Drosophila melanogaster: one gene and its partners. The protein of the gene in region 4 interacts with the protein of the main gene of each other region in a pairwise test. Each region holds a gene or a part of one and is shown on either strand. Other genes may lie near its edges.

Evidence for each region.
Region 1: the proteins of CG44251 (region 4) and CG2157 interact in a two-hybrid assay, tested with the Drosophila melanogaster proteins (one large-scale study listed by BioGRID).
Region 2: the proteins of CG44251 (region 4) and Ubc2 interact in a two-hybrid assay, tested with the Drosophila melanogaster proteins (one large-scale study listed by BioGRID).
Region 3: the proteins of CG44251 (region 4) and CG43736 interact in a two-hybrid assay, tested with the Drosophila melanogaster proteins (one large-scale study listed by BioGRID).

The regions. Positions count from the first base shown.
Region 1 is NC_004354.4:10,867,578-10,871,253, reverse strand, and holds CG2157 (uncharacterized protein), read right to left. Parts: upstream 1,971-3,676; 5' UTR 1,875-1,970; coding exon 1,863-1,874; intron 1,518-1,862; coding exon 1,145-1,517; intron 1,072-1,144; coding exon 713-1,071; 3' UTR 551-712; downstream 1-550.
Region 2 is NT_033779.5:10,764,498-10,769,624, forward strand, and holds Ubc2 (ubiquitin conjugating enzyme 2), read right to left. Parts: upstream 3,443-5,127; 5' UTR 3,160-3,442; intron 2,590-3,159; exon of another isoform or gene 2,516-2,589; 5' UTR 2,495-2,515; coding exon 1,894-2,494; intron 1,779-1,893; coding exon 1,694-1,778; intron 1,634-1,693; coding exon 1,621-1,633; 3' UTR 513-1,620; downstream 1-512. Other genes in the region: CG6495 (uncharacterized protein), read left to right, coding at 1-311; CG6724 (uncharacterized protein), read right to left, coding at 3,790-4,079, 4,147-4,393, 4,451-5,117. UniProt on the Drosophila melanogaster protein: Catalyzes the covalent attachment of ubiquitin to other proteins.
Region 3 is NC_004354.4:6,866,652-6,871,250, reverse strand, and holds the start of CG43736 (uncharacterized protein), read right to left. Parts: upstream 3,025-4,599; 5' UTR 2,471-3,024; intron 1,991-2,470; 5' UTR 1,862-1,990; coding exon 260-1,861; intron 1-259.
Region 4 is NT_033778.4:12,947,848-12,954,007, reverse strand, and holds CG44251 (uncharacterized protein), read left to right. Parts: upstream 1-1,714; 5' UTR 1,715-1,831; coding exon 1,832-1,835; intron 1,836-2,129; coding exon of another isoform or gene 2,130-2,162; intron 2,163-2,658; coding exon of another isoform or gene 2,659-3,515; exon of another isoform or gene 3,516-3,604; intron 3,605-3,798; exon of another isoform or gene 3,799-3,855; intron 3,856-3,921; coding exon 3,922-5,354; 3' UTR 5,355-5,660; downstream 5,661-6,160. Other genes in the region: CG13321 (uncharacterized protein), read right to left, coding at 1-50, 345-351; CG44250 (uncharacterized protein), read left to right, coding at 1,832-1,835, 2,130-2,162, 2,659-3,515.

The DNA of each region.
Region 1 (3,676 bases), on a different chromosome or scaffold from region 4:
CGTGGATCATCACCTACGGTCATCGACCGATGTACTGCAGCGACGACAAGGAGTACGATTGCAATAGCCAACTGGAGACGTACATTCGCCAGGGTCTGCCCATGCTCAAGTGGTTCGGCCTGGAGGATCTGTTCTACAAGCACGGCGTCGACGTGGAGATCTTTGCGCATGAACACTTCTACACTCGCCTGTGGCCAATCTACGACTACAAGGTGTACAATGGCAGTGCCGAGGCGCCATACACTAATCCCAAGGCGCCCATCCAGATCATCACGGGTTCCGCCGGCTGCAAGGAGGAGCGCGAGCCCTTCTCCAACGATTTGCCCATCTGGAATGCCTACCATAGCAATGTAATTGAATGACCTGCTTAATATCAAAACGGAATACTATAATTCTATAATCTCTTTAGGATTACGGATACACCCGCTTGAAGGCACATAATGGCACGCATCTTCACTTCGAGCAGGTGTCCGATGACCAGAACGGCGCCATTGTCGACTCCTTCTGGGTGATCAAGGACAAGCATGGCGCATATCCATCGCCCCAATGAGATTACATGCATATATAAATATATACTTTCTAGTTAAATGACGATTATGATAATGTATTTTTTTGTAGCATCTTTTAATAAAAATAAAGTTAGAAAAAAATATATCGATGAAAAAAAATAAATTCCACTAGCTTAGATCTTGAACGTTGGACCGTGCGGTGTCTAGTAGACGGTTCCCGAGATTCCGGAACCGTAGTTATAGCCCGATCCGATGGGCGGCACTCCGCCCAAAGCGCCCAAGCCGCCGCCCACCACGCTGTTGCCATAGTTGCTCGTATAGTAACTGGATGGATAGCCACCAGCGCCGAATCGGGTGTTGTAGTACGGATACCCAGTGCCGGCTCCAGCGCCCAGCCTGCTGTTGTAGTATGACAGGGCGTATGGATTCGAGTTGTAGGAGCCACCATAACCACTAAGTCCCGATCCATAGCCACCAAGAGCGGATCCATAGCCACCCAAAGCGGATCCATAGCCGCCCAGAGTGGATCCATAGCCTCCGTATCCGGCCACTGCAGCACCATCTGGGGATTGAGAAACAGCGTTGGTATACTACGAGTCTTCGGCAAGAGATTGAGAGTCTTCTTTCAAGCTCACCCTCACCTAATCCACCCAGAGCTCGCGAGCTGTACGGATTGTAGTAGCTGTCCACGCCAACGCCGACGCCACTGCCGTACGCTCCTCCATAGCCGGCTCCCAGGCCAGAGGCATAGCCGCCGTATCCTGCGCCATATCCGGCGCCATAGCCGCCGTATCCCGCGCCGTAGCCCGCTCCGTAGCCACCGTATCCACCAACATAGCGCTTCTCCTGCTTCTTATCCTGCAGCGGGGCATAGCTGCTGGCGGCGCTCACCTGATCCTCCACGGCCACCGCATCCGGTGCCGATGCGGATGCCACCTGCTCCAGGTCAGAATCCGCCGCGTCCTGGGCATAGGCACTCAGCACCAGACTGGTTGCTATCAGGATAAACTGCGCGAGGATAAAGCGTCACCAAAATGTATCATATTCAAAAGATTACCACTTAAAACATATTTCAATAAAGTGAAAAGTACTTTTTAACAATAGTATTTTGTTTAACAAATTCTCAAAAGCAACATAAAACATATTCAAAAATGTAATAAAAAAAATGTAAAAAATATGTATCAACTTTAAACTAAAATTTAAATACACTTTATAATTTAACAATGAACATCAAGCATTTGGAATACAATGCTTTCAAAACTTATTATTCACTTTAACGAACTGTGTTTTTTAAATCATTTTCTAGTTTTTGGGAAATTATAATCCACGAGAGATCCTTTGGCGAGTCCTTACAAAGCACTTCATGTTGTGGCTGCCGGTTTGTGGTGTTCACTGCTTTCTGGTGGCTAACTGCTCCTTCAAGACTATGATGCGCACGCGCCGTTCGACACTTGTCTAATGATTCCCCACCGGGCCGGCAGTCGCTTTTATACCCGCCGAGCCCACTTCCAATCCCAGCGAACTCGAGCCGCGAAGTTGGACGCAACTGTTGCATCCCAGAGATTCGTGTCGCCTTGCTTGCCACCTATGTATGTATGACGCATGCCACTGGACAACGTGTATGCTGATGGGTCTTGGCTTAATCATCAAACATATTAGATTGAATTTATATCCTGGATTAGATAGTTTCCAGAATCAGATGAGCTCTACTTAACCCATTTATGGAACAACTCTGGATCAACTTAGATTGCTAATATTGTATATTAAATACATATTTATAATCTTAACTCTTTTCTTGAAGAAAACAATACCTTTCGAATGATCTACTTATGAAAAGCTGGTTGGGCGTGTTGATGTGTGATCACACATCATTATGAATATTCCCACGATCTGGGGGATCAATTATACCGCCGCCGCTCAGGAGAAGCAATAACAATGATGACAAATGCTAATTGAATCATTAACTTGACCCTGAAACAGCTAATTGGTCAACATAAAACGCGAAAATGCCCAACGATTGCAGCTTTGAAAACAAAGTTTAAAAAAAAAACGTAACAGCAATCATGCGAGTCCAGTTGAAACGATTTAGTTAGATAGATAAATATTGCGGCTAGTACGTGACTCATTTCATGAACAACAGTATCGAATTGGGTTTTCACTTTCCAGCGCTTATTTAAGCCAACTGAAATTGTTAACAAAACATCGCAGAGAAGAAGAGCCAGGCGGATCTGAATGCTTGAATTTCGCCAACAAAGGTGGCAATTGTTAATTTCTTAGAGGCTTTTTGGCCAAGTGCCTAAGCTAAGTATCCCCATTCCAACCAACATTGCTGACACATTTTCTAAAAAACCTAACGGATTGGAGTCGTAACTTCGATTGGGTTGAATGGACTGAATTAGGTTCTACCAATCTGGGCGATAGTTTTAGCATAAATTCAGGGGTATTCCACATTTAAGTACATTTAATCTATAGAGTTTAGTACAAGAAACTAAAAAGTACTCAGATGTTTCAAATAACTTTAATAATAACTTTAGCAAGTGTTTGAATAATAAAGTAGCATTTAAGAACATAACGATCTATATCCGTTTGCCATTTTCCAAAACTGCAAAACTGTAGCTTGTATCTGTGCAGTTGAAGTTACGTGTGCCAATAGCATTGCGATACTTATCCACGGATATTTACGAAATATGTCAAAATAGTTGTCGATGCCATGCTTGTGGATAGCCACATAGTATATACATACGCTTGTCATACCGCCCATATGAGTGGGTTCACATTGTTCGACCCGGCGGGCATGTGAAAAGTGTTAACTGATTCGACTGACTGTATGGATGGATAGATGGTTGGAGGGATGGATGGATAGATGGAGGGATGGATGGAGGGAGGCAACCGAAGCTACTGCCGACTGCTATGAGTTGACTTGGCCATGGGTGCACTTTGGCGATGGCCTGGGAGTTTCTCGTTTTTTTTTTTCTTTTCTTGTGCTCTTACCCCACTGAGACAATGGTTCTTTAATGCCGAGGCCTAAAAGCCCATTACACGGGCAGCCCGTGAATCTCGCGGTAAGTGGTAGCCTCCATTTCTTGGCCAACCCGCGCACACGGGGCGTATGAGTAATCAAGGAAAAGCAAGCACGGTGCAAAAATCAGATTTAGAACTTTGTCAGT
Region 2 (5,127 bases), on a different chromosome or scaffold from region 4:
TTGCCCTGGAGCAAAACAAGTTGCAACCGGAGGGATCCCTTCCAGCCCTGCCGGTTCCCGCTTCCCCCGTCCACGAGCAGTACAAGATGATCCATGACAACCTGGCGATGGAGTTCCGCGATCACGACGGTCACTCGGAGCGACCTGGCGGGGCGGTCCTCTCGCTGACTCTGGGCCTGCTGGTCACCGCTGCGCTGGCCATTCTTATCGGGTGCAGGATGCGGACGGTGACGCGGAGGGCACGACGACTGGGCGGCAAGACGCCCTACTCACAGGAGGCGGACTTCCTGGTCAACGGCATGTATCTGTAAGCCGGTTGCCTGCGGATTAGGTCGGGGGCTAGCCAAGATTCGTTGTGTTGTTCCACGTGCGGGGAAGCGTGAGGATATATATATTTACGATTAATTGTGTAATGAAAAACGTATTTTATATAAACAAAGATATATCAAATAAAACTAAAACTTAAACATAGCGATCGCCTTACCTGTGGACCGATTAATGAGTCGAAAAGTAATTTTATAATATTTTTTATTTAAGTTCCTTTCCATTTGCGATTTCAGTTTTGTTTTGGTTACGAAAAAAACTTACAATTACTTTGTTACGAAATCTTGTTCTCAGTTTTTTTTTCAATGAAGTGACGACGATGACTGGTTTAGTCATTAAAACTACAAAATAGTAGGAAGTTGGTTTTTATTTATATTCTTTTTTTCTTTTCTTTTCCTTTATATATCAGCACTATACTCGTAATTGCCTTTCTTTAAAATAACAAATTTCGCTGTGGTGGAGCCTTTTTAATGTTCAAGTCTAAAATCATTATTAGTGAAAGGTAGTATTTGACCAAAAAAACAAATTTCGAACGCTTAAAAATATCACATTAAAAAATCAAACCGAATCCGATTTCATATATAAATAACACAAATTTATTTAATTTTGTTTTGGAATTTGGAATAGGTTGTCTTAAGTTTTGTATACATAGATTTATTTCGTTTTTCGTTTACCACTTCATTTTTAGTCTTTTGTTGTTGAGAATTTTCCTTGCTGTGGCCAGTTTTTTTTTTTTTTTTTGAATGAAAATCATCTTTTACGAAGTTTACTGCCCTGACATTGGTTGCATTAATATTACGCATTACGCATTAAAATAGGCTTTTCTCTTTACTCGTTTAGCTCCATTTTCACTTAACACTGTACACATATAATGTAAACTAATTGTATTTATATTTATTATGCAGTTGAATAGTTTATAGTTTAATATGTCAATGTGCAATTCATGATGCAGTTTTTCATCGAATGTGACTCGTTACAATGTTTTCGGTTGCTAAGCGAATTAAAAACAAAACTAGTTTCCGAAAAATACAACTCAAGAAATCTCCAAATGTTTTTTTTTTTTTACAACTTCTGTATTAACGTGATATAAATATAGACTGAATTTAGATTGGATTGGATCGACTGGCTGTTGGCGGTTGCTTTTCGTGTTACGGTAGTTGTTACTGTTAATTTAGTAGTTATCGTACTTTAATATATATTTATAAAATAGACTTTCTCCGTTGCAAGATGCGAATTTTCGTTTCTGTTGTTGCAGTTTTCGGTTTGTGGTACATGCACGTTGCCAAAACTTACGCATCATGTTGCGTACCTAAAAGACAAGCACACAGATTACTAAGTTTGTTTACTCGCTTTTCCAGCGACAACTCACCTTTTTGTCCAGAGACGCGCAATTCGATCGTGCTCCTCACGATTCTGCAAATATTGCGTGGCAATGCTGCCCACCAGCGGATCGGCTGTAAAGACACATGATATAAACATGAGATCATATTTACTACAGTCCTAGGAAAAGTTAAATCAAAGTGGAGAACACGACACTGTATATCAAAGTCTAAAAAAAATAAGTCTCACCTGGATTACAGTCTGTGAGCAGGGAGCAAATTGACAGCAAGACCTTTGATATGGTCAGCGCCGGCGACCAGTTGTCCTTGAGTATGTCCAGGCAAATGACGCCCTGGCTGTTGATGTTGCAGTGATAGATGCGCGTGCGGAACGTGACTTTGGGTGGCTTGAAGGGATACTCCGGCGAGAAGTGTATGTCGAGGAAGAAGACGCCGCCCTCGTAGACGGATCCGGGTGGTCCCAGTATGGTGGATACCCACTCGTACAGGTTGTCGCCCTTGGGCCCGGCACTGCAGTTGGGCGGTGGGTCCAGTGTGATCTCAGCCAGCTCCTTCTGTATGCGCTTGGCCGAGGTGCCCAGCGCCCTGGATATCCTGGGCGTTGTTTTGGCTTCCTTTCGCGGCTCATCTCCGCCACCGGCATTGCTCCCGGAGGCACCACCGTTGGCGTTGCTGCCCCTGCCGCCACGTGCCTGCGGAGTTCCGGCAGTCGTCGGCTGGCTGGTATTGCTCACGTTGCTGGCCGTTGTGCTGGGTGCACTGGGCGCATTTGAGGTGGCACTGGAGGTGGCCACCTCGGCGGCACTGCCCGCTGCTGGGGTTGAAGACATTTTTGGTCTCGTTTCTTCGAACTGAAATGAGTATTTTGATGTTTGGTTAGATAATGGTTTATGTAAACGATCCACTATGTTCAGCAGGGAATTTCCATAGAAAACTGGTGAAATATGAAGCCAAAGCCTACTTGGGATTCACATTTATTTTTAAAGGGAAATCCCTTCTTGCCTGCACTTTGTGCGTACGAATGTAGTTGATGTGAAAAGTATGGCCAGTGGAGTCGGCAATTATACGCGAATCTTGGACGGGGCTTCCCCAGGGTCCTTGACCTGGTTTTCCACCCAGTTTGTGCCCCTTTATGATGACAGGGGTTTGCTTTTTTTCGCACAAACGCACGCATTTCTATTGAGCAGCGGCCATTTTGGCAAACCCCCGACAGTAAAAAGTGGGTTTTGCATGGGATTCGTTGTCAGGCCAGTGGATGCTGGACAGGATTAGGTGATAGCTGGACAAGCATTTGCCCCCAAAGTTTCGAGAGCATGTGCTGGATGCCGCAAAAAATCAATCAGCAGACATTTGCAAAATGCCGCCGCCGACGGCGGAGGATGATGATGACGGTGCTGACTCCGCCGCCTGCAGCTCGATTGCACAATTTCGCGGAATTTGGACGCTGATTAGGTGGGGTCTATCTTGGGACCAGCCCGTGAAGCACTATACACACCTCACTATTGCAGTTTCTTTCACTTTTTTCTATCACAACACTTGCGAAAATGATTCTCCCTGTGTCGCCTGCTGCCCTCTCGCTCGCACTCTCGCGCACACGGCCTTCGCAGTGGATGCACGGCTGTTCCGCTGGCGTCCTTGGTGGGTGGCAGTGTCGGCGCTCCAAACTCCTCGGCGGCTCACGGTCGCGATCGTTGTTATTTCGCTAAATTACAGTTGGCAAATTACGAGGCGACGCAGAGCCGACTTTATCTTTGTTAGAAACTCGATAATTTGTATGTTTGTAGCCAGCTATCGGTCCGGGTCCGTCTCTAGGTGCTCGCGCTGTCCGCTCATCCTTAGCGAACTATCGATGTTCGGCTTCTGGCAACCGTTTTTTGCCTTTTCTAGCACTGTGGCAACTCGGAAGCGGATACCATAAAAATAATATTCAAGTATTGAAATCTAACTATTTCGTAAATGAAATAAAAAACAAGAATATTTACACCATGTATAATACACTTTGAATACCTCTCTGCTTCACCCACTTCGATAATTTAAGTGTAACACCCCAGATGTAAAATCTTTCAATATTTACTTTAAAGTTTAAACTAGTTTTGTATTTATAAAAAGTTTACAAGTTTTGGGATTACTTCGTCTCCGCTTCTTCCGCTAGCGCCTTGCGAGATTTGAATACGCGCACCGTGTTGTCGACACCACCAGATACAATGTACTTGGGATTGGACCAGTCGATGTCCAGGACCTTTTCACCGTGACCCAGAAGATCGTACAGTGGGGCCTTGGGACTCCTGCAGTCCCACAGCTTGTTCTGGTTGTCATAAGCGCCGGAGACAAATAGGAACTCCTCCGTGGTGGACCACATGACGGTCTGCACCCAGGCATTGTGTCCCAGATAGGTATTCCTTACCACTGATCCCTCTGAAAGATCCGAATTATATTGGTTAGGTGGAAGTTCCATTGTTGATATTGGAGTATTAGATCTTACGGTTTGTCCTAGGATCATAGAGCCGCAGATTCTTGTCCGCCGAAGCAGTCAGTATCAGCCGATTCAGCTTTGAGTAGCTCGCATCGAATATGGACTTGTTGGTGGATATTTCGGTCTTGATGCCCTCAAGACTCAGATCCCACACCTTGAGTGTGTGATCCCAGCTGCCAGTTAGCAGAGTGGTAGCATCCATCCACTGCACGGCTGATACGCTCTCACGATGTCCCTGCAGCGTAATTTTGGGGGTCTGAAAGGAATTGTAAAGCTGATTACAAGTCTAATTATAAATGGCAAGACTACTCACTCTCACACCGCTCTCTTTCATCCGCTTTGAGCTGCCCTCGACTGCATCGTCCAGCTCTGCTGACCACACCTTCAACATCGTGTCCCAAGAGCCCGTGGCAAATCTCAGACCATCCGGACTCACGCTGACACTGTCGACGCCTCGCTCGTGGCCCTTGCACACGGAGACACATTCCACCGAGTTGGAGCCCACGTTCCACTGCCACAGCATGGCGGTCTGATCCTGCGATGTGGACACAAAACGTCCCGTCTCCTCGTCCAGCGATATCCAGTCCACCGCCTTGATGGGCGCCGTGTGACCAGAAATAGTGAGAATGTGCTTGCCTTTGTTGGTCCACAAATTCAGGGTGTTGTCGTAGCACCCGGAGAGGATCCACTTTCCTCTAGCCTTCACCGCGGACACCCAGTCGTCGTGCAGCAGGCAATCCTGTGGCTCTGGCGCCGGGAACCGCTCCACATACTCGATCTCGATGGCGTCCTCGAAACTGATGGCTTTCTCGCGCAGGTGATCGCACAGCCGGCCACGCAGGTACTCATCGAACACCAGGAAGTCGAAGTCCGTGTCGGAAGAGCCATCTTTTTGACGCAACAGTGCGTTCACGAATGTGTTTAGCTCCACGGTGGTGACGGTGCCATCGATGGCATAGGGCACATCAGGCACGGCATAGCTGAAATAGG
Region 3 (4,599 bases), on a different chromosome or scaffold from region 4:
CATTACTCTAAAGTAGGCTCGAATTTCTAGATAAGGCTTGAAAAACGATAATTCGGTTGAGTGTAAAGAATCTTGTATCTATAATATTGTTCAGTAGCTGGGGTATAATAAATGATACCATAGCAACGTTGATATTATATTCCAGATTACGATTGGGCATTACTTCTCAAACTTTGCTAATAGCTTTGATATCCCAAAGTTTGATAAACATTGTGCATTAATTGGAGGAAAACGTTAGCTAGCCTAGTGCTCAACTCACCATCATCTGGGCGTGGAGCTGCAGGTTTGTCTGTCCGGACATCCATCCGCTGCTGGCCAAAGCCTGGACGGTGGCCTGCGATAACATCCTGTTGTTGCCCTGCGACTGCTGGAGCATCGACGCCGCTGCCGCCGCCTGGGAATTGAAGGCCGCTACCGCGGCTGCCCCAAAACTATTTGCCGCATTCGCCACACCATTGGCGCCGGCGGCAGCTGCTGCTGCGGCGGCGCGTTGCTTCATCAGATGCTGTTGATGCGCCGTCGCCGCTGCTGCGGCGGCAGAGGCAGCGTGCTGTTGCTGAGATTTTGAGGTCACCTGTTGGCCACCAGCGGTGTTCGCGGAGGATGATGCGGCTGATGTGTTCTGGCCCATGTTGCCGCCGCTGGAGGAGGAAGGGCCGGACGATCCGGAAACGGAGGTGGTCACTTTTGGAGGCGGCGCCGAGGGTTGACGGGTCCAATTGACCGAGTTGTTGACATTGGCCCGATTGCCAATGAGCAGATTGGAGTCAACCACCTTGCTGGGCCAGTAGTCCTCGAATTCGGTGCCATTTGGGAAGTAGCTTTTGATGTCCGTCAGCGAAATCACGGCCACGTTCTCGCTGGAGAAGAGCTCATTGCGTATGCCCTGCACCTTGCAGCAGAACTTTAGATAAGCCAGGTCCCAGCCATTGAGCAGCTCCGCTTTGGTCTTTAGATTCTCGGTCTCGCCCTCAAAATAAAAGAGCGGCACAACCTGCTGATTGTTGCGCACAGTGTAGGGCACCACGGACTCCTTGTTGATGCGAATAAAGCCGCACTTCTCCGACGGCGTCTTGCTGCCGGAGACTAGTTTCCTATAGCAAATATCCAGGAACTGATAGAACTTGGATGCGTCACTGAGACGCACCACCAAATCCTTTTGGTTGAAGATGTCGCGACCGAACTCGCCGTCACAATGCTTATGATTAATCTCGATGAAGAGACGGGCCTCCGCATCGGTGATGTAGTAGCTGCGCACGCAGGTGCAGCTGGAGTAGATATCCGGATGCAGGCAGTTAAGGTATTTGCCCAGCAGTTTCAGTTCGATCATGCGCACGGAGCAGTACTTCTCCGATTGGCGATAGATGTACGGTATGGATACCTTGCCGAACTGAGCCCAGCCGAAGTGGCCTTGAATGGACTCCTCGTCGCAGGGTCCCGTGGAGGACTTCTTGTCCGAGCCGGAGTCGCTGACGGCTCCATTCGAGCGGCCATTGGAGGCCAAGGCGGGCACCACCTGCATGGTGCCGTTGGGTAGTTTCTGATGACGAGATAGGTAGTTCATGATATTGGTCTGGCCATTGCCATTTGTGATCGGCGGCTGCATGTTGCCACCGGCCGAGGATGCCGCAATGGCGCCCCCATTCGAGTGCTGCATGGCCGCTTGACGGGATGCCTGCTGGGCGGCCTGTTGCTTCTGCTGCTCCTTCATTTTGGCAGCTAGTTCGCGGATCTCGGCGTCATCGGGACGCTCCTGCTTGACGGGCGGTCCCAGGGGACCGCCCAAACTGTTGCCGTGGAGCGGTAGGCTCTGGCCATTGGCATCGATGACGCTAGTGATCTGCACATCCTCGCTGGCCATCGCTCCTCCGCACACTCTCGCTCTTTTGCTCTAGAATGCTGTCTTGCTCGCGCTCTATGTAATCTTGCGTTATCGTACTTTTCCAGACTTTTCGATATCCACACTTTTGGTTTGGTTTTATATTAGGAGCTGTATTGAAAAATTTACTTGTTAGGATGACAGTTCGATTGGTACTGCCAGCATTTCAATTTGATATGTTATTTGTGTATGTATTTATATATATGCTCATATATGTCAATATATATTTAACAAAGACTGCATTATGTCTTACTGATTTTTTTAATTATTCACACATCAAAATGAAATTCTTTTGGCAAGTGTATTTGTTATTTAAACAGAACTATAAAAGAAATAAACAGCCGGCTTGTTCGATCCTTCTCTTTCTGGCACACAAACGGTCACACTGACCGGCTGTCTCACACACACACACACACACACACACACGTGATAATTTTTTTAGATGTTTTCCTTTGCAAGTGTGCGTGTGTTAATGCGCGCACTTATTTTTGTTGTTTTTCGAGCTCATTTCAACATTTTGCACACAATGCTATTGCTGTTGTTGTTTTTGGCATATAAATTATACATTATGTATGCATGTGGTACACTTACACAAACAAACGCTAACTGCATTTTGGCAGTGTGGCAAAAAAAAAAACAAAACTATTTAATGCATTTGTTGTTATATTTAGTTGCTGCTTTCTCTCTCCTCGTTTGCTTTTGGTTTATTAAATTCCTTTTTGTTGTTTTTGCGACGACGCTCGTGGTGAAAAAAAAAAACAATTTGTTTGGTTCTCTTTTCTTTTGATATTCGCACTTTTTCGCTAGTTTGCTTTAGCGCTTGTTCCGCATTCGACGCCGACGCACGTCCGCCCGTCTTCGCAATACACAAACGAGTGTGATCGTTGTTACGAAAATTATTTCAACGAAGTCAACTGAAAAATGTGTACGGCACACACACAAACCTACAGCCGTGCGCTCACCCACACTGGCGCAGCGCGCCGGCAGCGACGCCTACTGCGGCAGCGGATGCAGAGCGCAAAAGAAAAACGGAAAACACGAAAGAGAAAAAAACAAACACCCGTAGCGCAGTCGGCGTCGCTGCAACGCTGCCACGAACATTTTGCCGAATTGTTGTTGCTGCTGTCCGTCTCCCTTTTGCGCCCCCACCCCCCTTCTTATGCATTTTCCTACTCTGCCATCGCTCTCTCTCACCCTATTCGGCTAGCCCCCTCCTCGACGAACGCCTGCTCTCTCTCTCTCCTTCCGCTCATCGACTAGCTCTAAGCTGCGACGCCGACGTCAACGTAGCTGCAGAGTTACAACCCACAGTGGTTAAGACATAAGCAACTTATGGAAATTAATTAAGGGATCTTAGCCAATTCAGTATGAAAGTAAAATTTTATAAAATAATACGAATTTATGGGATTACAAGTTTACCATTTGTTGAATATTTAACCTCACAATTAAGTTCTTTAAATACTCTACACATATGTATCTCGAATTTGAACTTTTTATTGTTAAACTTTCTCTCAAATTCGCATTATTTTTTAGTAACACCATCTGGGAATCAAGCAGATCAAAAAAGGCAAGCTTCTTTGTGGCTTACTCATATAAATGGTGTAAAAAATAATGCAAACTAGCTAAATTTACTTTAAAATTAGTGTTTCCTTGTTACATGTTTACTCTTTACATACAGTTGTACAAATTTATTTGTATATATTATTTCTCTATAAGAATATAATAATGCCATTTTCCCCTGGCATTTGAACCACGGTACAAGGAAAGCTTAAGCTATGCTATATACAAGACCCACACACACTGACACATGTTCACAGAGAGCTGGCTGGGTCACAGTATTGGTATTGGTTTTGGTATTGGTGGTGTGATGATGATGTTGTTGCTTTTGTGCGGGAGTGGGTGGGTGGGTGCTCTTTGTGGGCGAAGGCGTGGCGGGGCGGCTCTATTTTTGGCAAGCACCAAAAGCAAAAGCAAAGGCCCCTGCTTAGCATTCGATGGCCACCTCTCCTCGCTCTAGCCCTCTCCCTTTCCCACATGCCATCACTCTCCCCGTCCCTTTCGCACCGTCGAATGCAAGAAGTTTTCGGTATTCGCGCGCTCTGCGGCTTTCAAGACAGGCCCCGTTCCAGAAGGCAGAGAAAACCGGGAACGACCGAGCACGAACACGAACAAACGAATACACGAGTTCACGAACGGGCGCAGCTCCAAAAGGTCGCCCCGACTCTAAACATTTACCAAAAAAAAAAATTTAATTAGCCAGGTCCAAGAGTCCAAGTCAAATTCCATTGTGCCGCCATCATACGGGGCTAAAAAGTTAACTGCCAGTTAATAACGAGTCCCGCGAAGTACAGTCAGATCAAAACAGGTGTTATTTGGTCCCGAAAACTAAACGTACAGTTGCGCCAAAACACATTGTGATATGTATTTTACTTAATGCAATGTCCACTTCAATTTATTTAGAACCAACTGTAGCCTATTAAAGGTTCTACTTGTTTTCATTCAATCATATGCTTATGTGTGTAATAGGATTACACAATATAAACCGAAACGCAATTTATATATGAATGTACGTAAGTACACCAATCAGTTTTTAGGGTATTCAAAAGCCGAGTGTCAATGGAAGGCACTGCAGTTTATTGGTATCTCTCGGCTTTGGTTTCAGGTGTCTCCCGGGCTTTTTAGTTTGTACGGTACGAGACTCTCCAGTGCGTGGCTTTCTT
Region 4 (6,160 bases):
GGCTCCTGGGGGCAGGGATCCGTAAACGTTGGTGCTAATCCAGGTGTAGTCTGAGGGCGAATAAAATATATATATAGAGCAAGGTCAGAGGCGATAAGTTAACTTGGGCCAACGAGGGCCAACTGTACACCATTAATCAGCCACAGTAGAGGTTTTTTGTCTTTTATTTGTCAGGGTGTAGAATCGCTGGATCTATGGAAAGCTACCAAAGCTCCAAGGGATTTCGGCTGTCAGGTGCGCGGAGTATCGATGACACTTGCCCACTTGTCACGACTAATTGCGGCACTATGCTTTCGTTTTCGCCAGAATTATCTTAGTCACTAACTTTGCACTTCAGTTCTCACCTCCCATGTTGTATTTGTGTGCTTTTTTTGTATGTTGATTTAGGTCTGGAACGTGATGTTATATACTCGCTGGCTCCGCTATGTTTGGGCTGACTTCAACGACTGGTCGCTACCCGCACATCGGTTGCGCCTTAAAAGCTGTTGTTTCCGCTTATCAGTTCGGCAAGTTAGCCGGCAGTGATAAGATATCTTAGTCACACTGCTCTGAACCGTTCGATTGTGTGTGTTCCACAAAGGTATCCTCATGTCGTAGAGGGTGTTCGTCATTGCGACCAACTGACAGGTGTGTCAGAATGTATATTGGATGATTTTGTTTGGTAAAAACAATTTAAATTCTGGGTTAAACAGGAAGCGCAACCAAAATTACTCAATCGATCTTGTGCATGAATATTTGTTTTTGTTTTTGCGGGTTTTATCTATAAGCAGTTGGCTACGAATCTTATCGCCGGTAGTCAAAAATAAACTTCATCAATAAGTTCGTAAAAGATTATATGTATGAGGGTGGCTGTCCATGGATCAACTATAAGTTCAGGAATGCTTTTCTAGAACAAAAATAAGAACCAACATGTAAACAGTTACCTAACCTTCTTGTGGATTATTCAAATCATAAACCTAATAATTGAGAAACCTTTGGAAAACTAACTGTAACTGTTGTAAAGTTACAGACACTTGTTTGGTCTAAAGATGAGTCAATTGCGATATAAAGTTATTGATATCGTTACCGCTGAGTCACATATGTATATTTATACTTTTTAATGCCTTTTATGCCTTACATAAATGCATACATACATATGTCCTTTGAAATCAGTTTGTTTGTTATTACAAAGAAATTATTAATTAAAAGAGATAAAATAAGCACATACATTACACTAAAGGTTTAAAGATTATTTTTAATATTTCAGTAGGTAAAAAATAATTCAAAATGAATGATCCTTTTTCTATTAAAAGTACAAATTTTCGACATGCTTATCGCCCCTTCAACGGGGGGGATTTTTTGAGCATGGGCGCTTCTGGCAGGCGTCATATTGTTTATGGGTCTATTTAATTGGGGTTCCACCTGTTGAGAGGGCACAACAATAACATTTAAAACAATGTCCACATGCTTCGATTTACTTGTTTTTTTCTTTTACTCCCAAAAGTACCGCCTGTTTGGGCCAATGATTCATTTTCGATCGATAAATGGAATGCTTTTCTGGAAATGGAGCTTTCGAGACTGGAAGTTAAAATTAGTGATAGCAAAGGTCCCAATATCAACTGCACTTCTTTTTTTATATATGTACAAATGCGAATTGAAAGATAAAAGCTCGCCGATAAGAAGCAGTGACGAATCGCTCTGGTTCGGTTTTTAAACGTCAGGCTTTTGCAAACCAATAGTTTAGTGAAAAGACAAACTTTGGTCAGTTCAGACGCATTTTGGAGTCAGAAGAACGCAAGTGAATAAAAGAAACTATTTTTCATAGGAATAACTTATCAACAATTAACGCACAATGGGTAAGTAGAATGAGTAACCTCTGATAAGTGCAACCAAAAAAAAAAAAATGATTTTGCAATGCCAAAGTCTAATGAAATAAGTGTAATTTACCTTCAAGATCATCAAAATCAAAAAATATATTGTTGCATATTAGCTTAATTAAATTCAATTTCCCAATTACGGGCGAAGAAATCCGCAAGTGCTGACCAATTCTGTTGGTATTGCGATTTTTTTCTCTGTGCACATTAGCCGGAAGAAAAGCAAAGAGCATTGAGTGACTTCTACAGTTCTCCGCCTTTCTTTGCTCTTTCCAGGCGCCGTGCAGCCAGGAGGAGTTGTGACCGTTGGTAGGACGAGTGCAGTGAGCCCAGGGTGAAACCCCTACGCCTCTGTGAAACCCCAAATCCCATTTGATCCCCGCCCCCAGACCACCTAGGCCACCCAAAACCACCCAAACCCGCAAAACCGTACAGCAAGCCAAATATGTACACGGAGAAAAAGCTATGAGAGTATGAGTATAGAGTGAATCATTATATTGTACATTGTACTTAATTTTTAATCAAAACCGTATCCATTTAATAATGCAGCTTCGGGATGATAAATGTTTACCTTTTGAAAAAGTACGAAGTTAGTAAATCTTAATCTTTTTTTTTTTAATAACAATATATAATATCTATCAAGACAATATTAATATAACAGTGATTTAAATCAATCAAGTAGAGTTTTAAGATATTTCCAATGGAAAGGACACGAAACTTACTCTCCGGTTTTCGCTCTGTGTACAGATAGGTTATCTTATCGCGTGGTATCAAACTTATCGCCCTACTGCCTTTCTCCTTGCAGACAACACCTGGGTGCACTCGTCTCCATACAGCCCCCTGCCCCCATACGCGGTTATCGGTGGCCATGACTCGGACCGCACGCCCATCTATGTGGGTCGATCCTTTCACGAAGGCGAGAATCTTCCCGCCAAGGTCGTACCGAGCAAGGGATGCGCCTATGTGGCCTACGGTGGTGCGGAGCACACGAAGACGCACTACGAGGTGCTGGTGGGTCAGGGATTTGCCTGGGTGCCCAGTTCCAGCGGTGGAGTGCCACCGAATGCGGTGAGGAGCGGAACGACGCGAACGGGCGAGCCGCTCTATGTGGGACGCGGACATCATGCCGGAAGCTTGACTGTGGGCAAAGTTCATCCATCGCACGGCTGCCTATACATTCCATTTGGCGGCCAGGAGGTGCGCATCAACACCTACGAGGTGCTCATCAAGCAGCAGCACGACGTCTGGGTACCGGCCTCGCCCAGTTACACTCCTCCGGGCGCAGTGATCGCCGGACACGACTCCGACCGTACTCCCATTTACGCCGGAAGGGCAATGCACGAGGGTGAAATGCTGCCTGCCAAGGTGGTGCCGAGCAAGGGAACCGCCTACGTTTGCTTCGGCGGATACGAATTCCAGAAGCCCAGCTACGAGGTGCTCACTGGCTACGGATATGTATGGATGAATTGCGGCCACAGCATTCCACCAAACGCCGTAACCACGGGTCGTGCTCGCAATGGAGAGCTGCTGTACTATGGGCGAGGACACTACCAGGGCAGTTTGACACCGGGTCTGATCTCGGCCAGCCAGCGTTGCCTCTATATTCCGTACGGAGGTCGGGAGATTCGCATCAACTCGTACGAGATTCTCTGCAGACAATAAGCTAAAGGAACGGAACACTACAGATACCATATGCATTTAGTCTAGATCAAACTGTTATCGCAGCCAAATAAACTGATTGTTAATACCGGAAGAAATCTGTGGGCATTTTGTGTTCCTTCTATTTTTAAAATACTTATCCCTGCAAATGTATTATACTGATATGGCCAAAATGGACTGTCGGATTAGACAGGTTTTACAAAATTTATGAGCTACGATAGTGGCTTGCTATGAAGGTCATTTCCTTATATTCTACCTTTCTTCCACATTATTTACTTTTAAAGAAATTTAAAATTACTACATCATTTTTTTGCATGTCTATAGATGAAATAGCATATTATTGGTTAGTCCTTTATGATAAACTAATCACTTCTGAATAAGCAAATAACAAAATGCATCTTTCTTTCAGCCTACAAGTGGGTTCAATCCTCGGCCTACTCCTCCCTTCCCGAGGAGGCAGTGGTGGGCGGCAACGATGAGGACGGCGCCATGATATACGTGGGCAGGGCGGAGCACGAGGGCGATATGTTGGTCTGCAAGGTGGTGCCGAGCAAGCAACTGGGATTCATTTCGCAGCGAGGAGAGGCACTGCCCAAGGACATCTTCGAGGTGCTGTGCGGTCAGAATCTGGTGTGGATCAAGTGCTACGATCATGTGATTCCGGAGAATGCTGTACTCTGTGGACGCACATCGCTGGATCAGCCGGTTTACATTGGTCGTGGTCATTATGAGGGTCATCTGATTATCGGCAAAATCTCCTCTGTCCATCGAGCTTTGTTCATCGCTTTTCGCGGTGCCGAACGTCGTCTGGATTCCTATGAGATTTTGGTGGAGGAGCGCAGAGTGGTTCCTGGCTGGCAGCTGCCGCCACCACCTCCTCCACTAGAGGAGCCGGAAAAGTGTCCACTATCGCCGCCGCCACCACCTTCTCCACCGGCAATGGCGCCGCCACTGCCGGCCAAACCATATCCATATCCGGATTTGGCTGCGATGCCATTTCCTGACAGGCCTCCGGCCTACACACCCACTCCGGATCCCATGCCACCCGTTGGAGGTGTGATGGTGATGCCGAGTCCAACCCCACCACCGCCGGCGGGAGGAGTGCTGGTCATGCCACGACCACCACCACCACCACCGCCTGCAGGTGGTGTGTTGGTCATGCCACCTCCTCCTCCATCGTTCACTCCAGCTGAGGTGGCGCCACCGCCATCATTTGTTCCCGCAGAGGTGACCGCAGTATCCGTTCCCGTGGCACCATCGTTTACACCCGCTTCCACCTATAATCCCTACGAGGCGGGATGCTCGTCCTACACTCCGGCCGAGTGTGCTGCTCCTTCGGCATATGACGCCTACGGCTATGGCAACAACTATGACGTTTGGGTATCAGCCGAACCGGGCTATTATTACTCTCCCGATGCCGTGATTGGAGGTCATGACAGCAACATGGAGCAATTGCTGGTTTGCCGGGCCTACTACCGTGGTGTCCATGTTCCTGGCAAGGCCATTCCCAGCCAGGGATGTGGCTACATAGCCCACGGGGGTCGTGAAATCATTGAGCCATCGTACCAAATGCTGGTGGGCAAGGGCAAATACCACTGGGTGCCATCCTACGGCGGAAACGTTCCACCTGGAGCAGTTGTGGCCGGAACGACACCTGGCGGAGCACCACTCTACATTGGACGGGGTCACTACTGCGGCAGCTTGACACCCGGTGTAATTGAGACCTACAACCGATGCCTCCAGATCCCATTCGGTGGCCAAGAGATCCGTCTGAGCAACTATGAAGTTCTTGTTAGGAGCGATATTTACCACGGACAGCAGGCCATCCGCCTGGTTTACTGAAGACATATTTAATCTGGAAAATCCGAGAGCAGCTAGGCCATGAAAACCCATAAACAAATTTTTTGTTCCTATAAATTATTCCAGGCATATCTTTGTATATTGTGAAAAACTACATTTTAATTATTAATTACCTATATTTATATACGCACTCAATATTAAATGCATCTAAGCCAAATGCAAAATGTGAAACTACCTCTACACACATTATATTTAACCGACATGTTTATTTACTAGTTAAGATACTTATGCACTAATTATATTGACACACTTTTAAAGTTCGTTGTGTAATAAATGTTTTATTTATTTAATGACGCCTTTGGATTTAATCATTTGTTATGGTTTGGGTTTCTTATTACGTCGGTTCTACCACGTGTAAAATAAGTTAGTAATTATACTATGACAAACAAAGACTCTTTAACATTTCCATAAACGCTTGAACAAAATCGTAAAGAACAAAGTTCTTCCGCCTTAACATAGAAATTACAATTAGAAGATGGTAAGTAAACGATTTGCGGGCACGAGAGTTTAAGGTCAAAATAATATTGTATCACGTAGAATAGTAAACTTGGCTTAATGTGCGGAATTAAAAACGCTGTATTCCCAGCTTAGCAAAGAACCCCATATGCTTGAAAACCTCCTTGAACCCACACGGGTTTTAACGATTAGACAAATCTGGCATTTCCCACAACTATCCGTTATTGGCCAACACAAGATTTCTTAAACGATTCTGGTTTTTCGACGTCAACTCGGCGCACAAGATGAAAGAGAAGAAAGAGAAAGGCGAAACAGGTAAGAGTAAATATGAG